Cricetulus griseus: one gene and its partner. Each later gene encodes a partner of the first gene's protein in a complex. Links are inferred from orthologs where the notes say so. Each region holds a gene or a part of one and is shown on either strand. Other genes may lie near its edges. The genes, in order: Cckar and Cck.

What was found.
Region 2: the proteins of Cckar (region 1) and Cck are in contact, whole or in part, in a cryo-EM structure (PDB 7MBX), measured with the Homo sapiens proteins. The link is inferred for Cricetulus griseus from reciprocal best matches to the Homo sapiens genes CCKAR and CCK. Residues at the interface, in NP_000721.1 of Homo sapiens: Cys94, Phe97, Asn98, Pro101, Asn102, Lys105, Asp106, Phe107, Thr118, Met121, Gly122, Val125, Tyr176, Phe185, Asn194, Met195, Cys196, Arg197, Phe198, His210, Leu213, Leu217, Ile329, Phe330, Ala332, Asn333, Arg336, Ala343, Glu344, Leu347; in NP_000720.1 of Homo sapiens: Asp96, Tyr97, Met98, Gly99, Trp100, Met101, Asp102, Phe103.

Annotation. Positions count from the first base shown.
Region 1 is NW_023276807.1:121,968,314-121,972,785, reverse strand, and holds the start of Cckar (cholecystokinin receptor type A), read left to right. Parts: upstream 1-1,563; 5' UTR 1,564-1,834; coding exon 1,835-1,946; intron 1,947-2,673; coding exon 2,674-2,925; intron 2,926-4,472. UniProt on the Homo sapiens protein: Receptor for cholecystokinin. Mediates pancreatic growth and enzyme secretion, smooth muscle contraction of the gall bladder and stomach. Has a 1000-fold higher affinity for CCK rather than for gastrin.
Region 2 is NC_048597.1:228,506,434-228,510,723, forward strand, and holds the start of Cck (cholecystokinin), read right to left. Parts: upstream 3,067-4,290; coding exon 2,853-3,066; intron 1-2,852. UniProt on the Homo sapiens protein: This peptide hormone induces gall bladder contraction and the release of pancreatic enzymes in the gut. Its function in the brain is not clear.

The DNA of each region.
Region 1 (4,472 bases):
AGAAGAAAACCCACAGAATCAACTAACCTGGGCTCATAGAGGCTCACAGAGACTGAATTAATAACCAGGAGCCTGCATGGGACTGACCTAGGCACTCTACAAGTACGTTATAGTGGTGTAGTTTGGTCCTCTTGTGGGACTTCTAACATTGGGAACAGGGACTGTCTCTGACTTGTTTACAGACTTTTTGGACTCTAATACTCATACTGGGTCACCTGGCCCAGCCTTAATACATGGGGAGGCGCTTAGTCTTCCTGAAACTTGATATGCTGTGTTTTATTGATACTTAAACAGAAATGGAAAAGGAGTGGATTGGGGGTGGGAGCAGAGGGGGGATGGTGGGGAGGGACTAGGAGGAGAGTGGAGAGAGGAAACCGCAGCCAGGATATAAAAATAAATACATAAATAAATTTATTTTTTAAAAAAAATAAAGCAAGAAAGAAACACAGATCCTAATATTGCCTGTTTCTTAGATGTTCAAACTAAGACCAGTGCAGTGAACAGTGAGGGGCTTTTAAGTATTGTCCAACTTCCTGAAAAAGCCAAGCCCCTAAACAGGCCTCTCACACACTAGCCATCTCCCAACATACCCTTCACTTATTCCTTCTTCTGTCCTTCAAATAGGCCAAGCCCCTTCCTGCCTCAGGCCCTTTGCACTGGTTGTGGCCTCTGCAGAAAGTATTCTGTCCCCTGTTTGGAGGCTTTCGCATTTACATCTCAGGCTTTGCACCACTAGTAACCCCCACCCCCACCAGGGAGGCCTAAATCCCTTCCCACTTTTCCCCTCTCCAACTTAACAGCATCTGAGGTGCTCTTCTTTCCTGATGGGCTTGAGAAGTACTCAGCAAATGGTTGACTCTCAGTGAACAGGTCTGGGGTGGAGAGACAAAGCAAAACAATAAAAAATAAACAAGTGAATGAGAATTCTTGCTGATTTCTATAGTAATAAGGATCTAGGAGAGCAGAAAAGGTAGGGTATTAGGTGGGGTGGGGGAGGGAGGATGGGAGGGAGAAGGACCTGGGATTAACATGTAAAATAATCTTCTTTCTAATTAAAAAAATACAAAATAAATAAATAAAATAAAATAAAGGACCTAGGAATCTGCATTCAGAAGAGTCCCCTGCTTCTGGTTAACAAGGGCAGAGACCACAAGACCGAGCACTGTGCTTGGTAACACCTTAACAACCACCCAGAAGTTCTCTCCATACACATTACTGGGCAAGGCTCCAAAGCTAAAAGGCACTAATTGCTTTTATATAAGGAGATAGGAATGCAGTCTCTCTGTGTCCCTTAGTCCCAATGGTCTGCATTATCGGATCTGTTACCATGTTAATTGATGCTGTCTCACACAGACATTTCAGGCTTCACTCTGAATATGTCTGGGACACTGACAGGCAGAGAAGAGAGGTGGTAATTGGGAAGTCTCTCTCTTTCTCTCTCTCCACCCGTGTGTGTGTGTGTGTGTGTGTGTGTGTGTGTGTGTGTGTGTGTGTGTAGATGTGGCCCCACTCTGGGAAGGGTTAATATGCAGCCAAGCTGCCTGTGCTCAGGGCCTCAGACCGGCCCAGGAATGGGAGGGGTGGGCCTGGAAGGTGGAGCAGGCTTGACTTGCACAGGCTGCTTCTCCCCACAGGAGTGCAAGTGCTTGCCCAGCTGGTCTGAGAATGGTGAACTCAAGTTGCCTTTAGGAATGGCTGCAAAGCCCACACCTGGAAATACCCCCTCCCTGCCCCTCCACGGCAGGTTGCATTTAGGAGACTCTCCGGTCATTAGAGGAACGAGTCAGGAGTGAGCCATTCACCAGCTCGCCAGCACTTGGTAGAGAGCAGCAGGATGGACGTGGTCGACAGCCTTCTCATGAATGGGAGCAACATTACTCCCCCCTGTGAACTCGGCCTGGAAAATGAGACTCTTTTCTGCCTGGATCGACCTCAGCCTTCAAAAGGTAGGTGTTAGAGGCTGTGACTGGAGTTCAGAAAACCACCCAGTTAAGGGAGATGATAGCAACAGCAAGGTTGACTAAAATGTATGTACAGTGTGTGTGTGTGTGTGTGTGTGTGTGTGTGTGTGTGTGTGTGTGTGTGTGTGTGTACAAAATCCCTGTGAGACAAAGCTAAATGAAGTTGTATGTTCAGAAGTTTGGATAAACGAGTAAGAGAAATCTACAGTCAAATATTCTTATTGTTCCCATGGGAGAGTTGGGAACTCATGAAGGATTCGGGGGAGATGACAAAAGCATAGAAGAGCTGAGGGCAGAAAGGGGTGCCAAGTGTAGAAGCCGGGACTACACACATTACTGAAAAAGCATTGTCAGGGGTAGAGGTTACCTTTTCTTAGGAGAAACCCAGCATGAAGAAGTGATTAAAGCAAAATAAAATAATGCTTAGCCTCAGGGAAAGGAAGCCGTCACCATTCAGGAGCACTGTCCTTAGGAAAAAACTGCTTTCCCCAGTGATCTGTTGACACACACCAACCTTTAAAAAAGCAATTGGATTGCCCTGTGCTTCCCTGGGCTTGTGTCTGTGTGATGCAGGCAGCACAGGGATACTCGGGTTCAGTGATGCATGCCAGCAGGGGACATCATCAGAAATGACCACTCCTTGGGGGGCTAAGGTTTTCACATTCCACCCTCCTAACCCACCTCCCTGCAACTCTTCCCCATTCCTCTGCAGAGTGGCAGCCTGCAGTGCAGATTCTCCTCTACTCCTTCATATTCCTCCTCAGTGTGCTGGGGAACACGCTGGTCATCACGGTGCTGATTCGAAACAAGAGGATGCGGACTGTCACCAACATCTTCCTGCTATCCTTGGCTGTCAGTGACCTCATGCTCTGTCTCTTCTGCATGCCATTCAACCTCATCCCCAATCTGCTCAAGGATTTCATCTTTGGAAGTGCTATGTGCAAGACCACCACCTACTTCATGGGTGAGTCGCTGCAGGTGGCTGTTGATGGGGCTCTTCTCACTCAGCCCTGTTTAGCCCCCGCTTTTGCCAGCTGCTTGACAGTCACAGCAGAGGGACCCTCCTGGGTTCCCAAATACCAAGCATCTGGCTGGCTGGGCCCATGTAGGACATGGGTGCTCTCTTTACAGCAAGTCAGCCCTTCTACTTGCAAGGGAGTGTGTGTCAGAAGTTGAGACAAAAACACAGTGGGAACTCAGTGGAGTTTCCTCTTTGAATAAGGACAAGAACTCATAGGTGACTTCAAGTCACTCCATACTTTTCTGCTGGCAGATGATTGTATGCCAATTAACCCCCAAGTTGGGACAGGGTTTCTTGGAATGGAGTAGGTGCATAGGATCAGGGCTCTTTGTTGTTGTGTTTCTTGTTCTGTGAGAAATGGAGGCTGTTTTAAACCATTCCATCTCTGTCTAGCTACTCCTTTCAGGATTCACTTCCCAGATTGTTCTCTCAAAGCCTGGGGGCATCTTAGGCCAGGGGTCTGTGGAGTGTGTGTGTGTGTGTGTGTGTGTGTGTGTGTGTGTGTGTGTGTGTGTGTGTGTGTGTTTGTGTAATAAGAAGCTGAATATGTTCCTAAGGAGCATGGATTATGAAGTAGATCCTGATTGGATGAGCCCTATAGCTCGCTGCCAAACATAATGATGGTTGTAGCAAAACCCACAAAGCTACTTTCTTAGTACTTTTTTATGCACCAGGTATTTTGCTGAGCACTTTCACTTCCATGATCTTATTTCTTGTCCACCTGGTAAATAGCTATCATCAATTCTTCCCTATCTTGCCAAGCACGTGCCAGGGGAAGCATGGGGGCTGGGGTTTGAACCTAGATTAGCAGGCACCACAGTGGTGAGTTCATGCCTCAGCTTGCCAGCTACTGAGGTTCTCCTAACCCTGGACAGAAACATGTCCCTGGTCCTCTCTGTCTGTCACACTACCTTGTCCCTTGCCCATTCTGAGAACCAACTGAGAAGAAGAAGAGGGTGAGGAGTGTGTGTGTGTTTGATTCTGACGCAAGCTGTGTTAAACAGAGAGCACTGACGAGGGCTAGGGAAATCTTCGCAGGCCAGAAAGCATTGAAAAGCCTTTCTTTTTCCCAATTGAGTGTTCAAGATCCAACAGATGACACAATGATGATGAATCGATGACTCTCATGCCCCCAGATTAGTAACTAAGGATGTCATTTGTGTTCAAGTCCCCTGAACATATTCTAAAGCCTTAAGAAAAATGGGAAGGATCTTGGTTAGATAATGAAGCATTGTTGAAAGCTTGTTAACTCCTGGGGCCCATCCATGTGCATCTGCTGGGCTTTAACATCTTAGCTAGAGTGGGGAGGAGAATTCACAGAGGTACTCACATAATCACACAGCTCTGAAGGCCGGGAAACTCTTTGCTTCAAGGTGGTCAAGTCTATGCTGTGTGAATTTCACCTCAGAACAACTTTAGTAGCCAAAATTAAACAGCAAACTAATTCTGGGATTATTTGGAATGTCATAATAGCTTACTTGGTTAAATTT
Region 2 (4,290 bases), on another chromosome or scaffold:
TAGAATTACTCAGGTAAAACAAAACAAAACATATACATACATACATACATACATACATACATACATACATACACACAGTCAGAAATACATGCAGCCCAGTTCCCATGTCATAAGAAAGCACAGCCCATCCTCTGGCCTGTTTAGGGATTAGTGTCTACTCTGAGGGCTGGGCACAACCCACGCTTCTATCGAGCCAGCTGTCCGGTCAGTGGCTGGGCACTTTACTCTCATGGGAGCTGTGTTTGGAACATGCCTTGGCTCTCACATCCTACACAGATCTGTCCTCAGGCATGTTGTTATCACCCTCCATCCATCGCCAGCACTACACAGCGAAGGGGCTTAGAGTGGTCTGAGACAAAGTGATCTGACTCCTGCAGCAGGTGAGCTGGGAACCGTATGGCCTCCAGGCCGCGGCGTAAGTCAAACCTGTATAGACTCCTGCTGCCTCCTAGATGCACCAATGTGTGCACAGATGGCATTTGCCTTCTTTAGCACAGGCTTCATAAGTGAAAGACAGTGAGATAGATGCTCATGTGAAGAAAGGTTTTAAGGCTTGAGAGAGATGCATGGAGAGAGCATTGGATGCTAGTGCCATTGATGCCTCCCCACCTCCCACGGGAACACACTTCCCCCTGGACCACCAATGCCTCCCCACCTCCCACGGGAACACACTTCCCTCTGGACCACCAGTGCCTCCCCACCTTCCACAGGAATGAATAGGCTTCCTCTGGGACCACTGAGGGCTCTGCAGACAAGCTCTAAAGATAAGCTTGGTTTTATTTCATATTTTACTTTTTGTTTTTAAATATGAGATCTTACATAGCCCAAGCTGGCCTCAAACTTGCTGCACAGCAGAGGCTAGCTTTGAACTGGTCCACCCACCCCCACCTCCCGATGCTAGGATTACAGGCTGGGTGTCATGTGGTGTGAGAGTTGAACTCAGGATTTTGTGCATTCTAGGCCAGTCTACCAGCTAAAGCCAAGCCCCAATCACTCAAAAAAGTATCTCGTCTAGAGTCTTTAAGAATAGTATGTATTATAGTTGAATAAAAAATCATTTATAAAATATTCAGAGAAATTGTGCAGTATTGACAATATTGATCCTGAGTTTATATTTTGTCAAAAAGTGGGCATCACTCTTCTATACTTAGCCCTGACCCTGGGTGTGAGCAAACCAACTTTCAAATGAAGGCTACTCCTTTCTGGGCTCAGTGGGTCCAACAGGCTGAGGGGAGACAGGGTCTGAGAAGAGAGCTCGGAGTGGCTTCCAGCTGCTGGGAAAACCACTGTCATGTGTTGGTTCTAGGCAATAATTCAGCAACCAGGCTTTCTGTTGCTAGAACTGCTCGGGCATTCCCAAACTCAGGCCAAAGGTTCTATAGACTGACAGCTCACTGAAGAGTCTAGAAAAGTCTAAAATACTTCAGAAGGGTCTGCTGGCCCACATCAGAAGGAATGGGGAGGGGGCATCCCACGTTCCCAGGTTTTCTTATTACCTGGTGTGTATGTGTGTATGTGTGTGTGTGCATGTATGTATGTATGTATGTATGTATGTATGTATGTATGTATGTGTCTGTATGTGTGTATGTATGCATTTCTCTCTCTCTCTCTCTCTCTCTCTCTCTCTCTCTCTCTCTCTCTCTCTCTCTCTCTCTCTCTCATCTCTCCCTCCCTCCATTGAATTAGCAGGAAAACAACCTAGAAAGGGATGGCTGTGGGGTGAGTTCCCAAACAGGAAGAAACATAAGAAATCTCTTGATTCCCCTGAAGTCCCCTGGTCGCATCTTCATGGGGGACTCTAGGAAACTCAACCAAGTTCCCCAGTTCCCCCTCACTAGTCAAGCCCAATGCCCTGGGCTGTTCAAATCAGACAGGACACGTTGAGTAAATGAGCTCCACAGAACAAAGGGCCCACCTTCGAAAGTTAAATCTCACTCTACTGGTCCAGTTTAACACACCCCAGCCAGAAGTCACCATCCATGTCCCTGCTGATAAAGTCAGATGAAAGCTGTCTTGGTGGCAGCCATGACTCCCGAGCTGGGAGAGGATCTGGTCTGCGCTGTCCCCATCGCCTCTCTGAAGATGAGAGATTTGGGTACAGGAGAGGAACCCTCAACTGGCAAGCTGCTGAATAGCCCACGGGGATCGTGGGGGGGGGGCGGCTTCCAATATTGAGAAGATCCCTGAGGTGGTCAGCATGGTGGCCACCTTTCTGACAGCTATAGAAACGTAAGACACAGCTTTCACTCTGTGGCCATCCTGACTGGGCAGTCAAGGGAACTCCAGCTGCTCTTTGACCCTTACCTCCTGCGCCATACAGGGGGACATGTACACAGTGCCAGCTACGTGTCTCAAGTCTCAGGTTTTCTCAGCACTGACCTATTTCACGCCAGAGGGGTCCCGAGGGTCAGTGTCTGGGTGGTCCCCAGTCCTGCTGTATATACAGCACAGAGGAGAGGGCGGATCTGGAGACTCTTACCAGCACTTTGTGTGTGTGTGTGTGTGTGTGTGTGTGTGTGTGTGTGTGTGTGTGTGTGTGTGTGTGTGTGTGTGTTTTCCTAAAGCGGTGTTGGACTTCAACCCTAATACAGTGCCGAAGTCAGTTCCGAGAAGGGTTAGCCCGCTCCTCTTACCCACGCGGTAAGCCCTCCACCCATCTCCCCTCTTGGGTGCTGAGAACACCACCTGCTGATGCCACAGTGCGGTGCAGAGTACCTCAGGGAAGGAAAGAGAGAATCTTGCTCCTCGTGTGCTCTGGTTTCCTCCTCTTCCCTGCAGGTGCTTTGGAGATCAGGAATGGGAACCCAGACCGCAGCAGCAGCCGCCGCGTGAGGCAGAGCGGACATCCTTACCTTTGCGTGCCTGCTGAATGTATCGTGCGAGCAGTGCGCCCAGGCGCGCTCGGGGCTCGCCGTCGGTCCTGAGCACCGCCCTCAGCTGCCTTCGGGGGGCCTCCTCTGCCCGCTGCACCGCCGACTCCGCGGCTTCTGCTGGTGCCACTGGCTGCGCCAGGGCGCCTGCAGCCAGGACTGCCATCAGGACGCACAGACACACGCTGCTCTTCATGGCTGTGGGGAGCGGAGGCGAGGGTCATGAACCAAGGGCTGAGCTCGGCGGGCTGCAGCCAAAAGTCCCGCACACGAAGTCCGCCGAGGCTGAACGCGGGGCTGTGGCCGCCAGCCTGGCTCATGCCCTAGAACTAGTCAAGTCCAGTCCTTGGCTGCGCCCTGGCCACCGCGCGCCTGGGGACACTTCTGCCTGGCTTTTGTGTTATCCACACCCAGGGCCCGGGAATCCCGCACAGACCCCATTTACTTCCAGGTTCAGAAGCAGTGCCTCCTGCTTTCCTGAAGTTAGAGGGCACCTTTATAGCCCATCTCTCTTCTAACCAGAAAACACAGAGTGGGTGAGTGGGTCACACACACACACACACACACACACACACACACACACACACGAGAGAGAGAGAGAGACAGAGAGAGACAGAGAGACAGAGAGAGACAGAGAGAGACAGACAGACAGAGACAGAGACAGAGACAGAGAGGCAGAATGCAGAGAAATGCAGGTTAAAAGCCGTCTCTACAGAAATGAATGGGACGACAATGGGAAGCGGTTTAAAGTATGGGTGCATAAATAGAAGCTGTGTTTATAGAGGTTCCTCGGTGTTTCTATGGGGACGAACAAGAAGTCACTATGCAAAAGAAAACCCAGAACTCTGTGCCCAGTCCTGAGTTGTGGCCAAAGCCCCACCACATTTGCAAACCGACCTAGAACTGACCTGATGGGACCTGCACCGTCCTAACGATGTCTTTCTAGCCACAAAGCCTTAGTTTTTTTTCCTGCATCATTTAGAAAATGAATGTGTCTTAAAACCTCTTGGCATTCCCTTTTAAATGATTGCAAAGTGATCCGAACATCGTGGGAACCCTAAGAAATGGCTATCCCAGCCTTGCCATTAGACAGCACACAGAGGAATAAAGTCTCCACGCAGCAGTACCCACCCAGGCGCATCTTAAAATCCAGAGCCATTATTTCTGACTTCAGGAAATCTTCCCAGCTGTCAAAGGAGGGAAGGCACAGAAAACAGAAAGATGATACGGCCAGGACGCAAAGCTACGGGCCAGTATTCTTCACACCCGTAATTCTTGGATGGGCCAGCACAGACACCGACTTACCTTTGACGGGGGATCAGCTGGCTTGGCGGATTCCAGCAGAGCAGGCTGCAGTCCAGCCAAGTTCAGGGCAGACTGGAGGGCGGCTGCCTCTTAAATAGCCCCGCCCGGCGCGCAG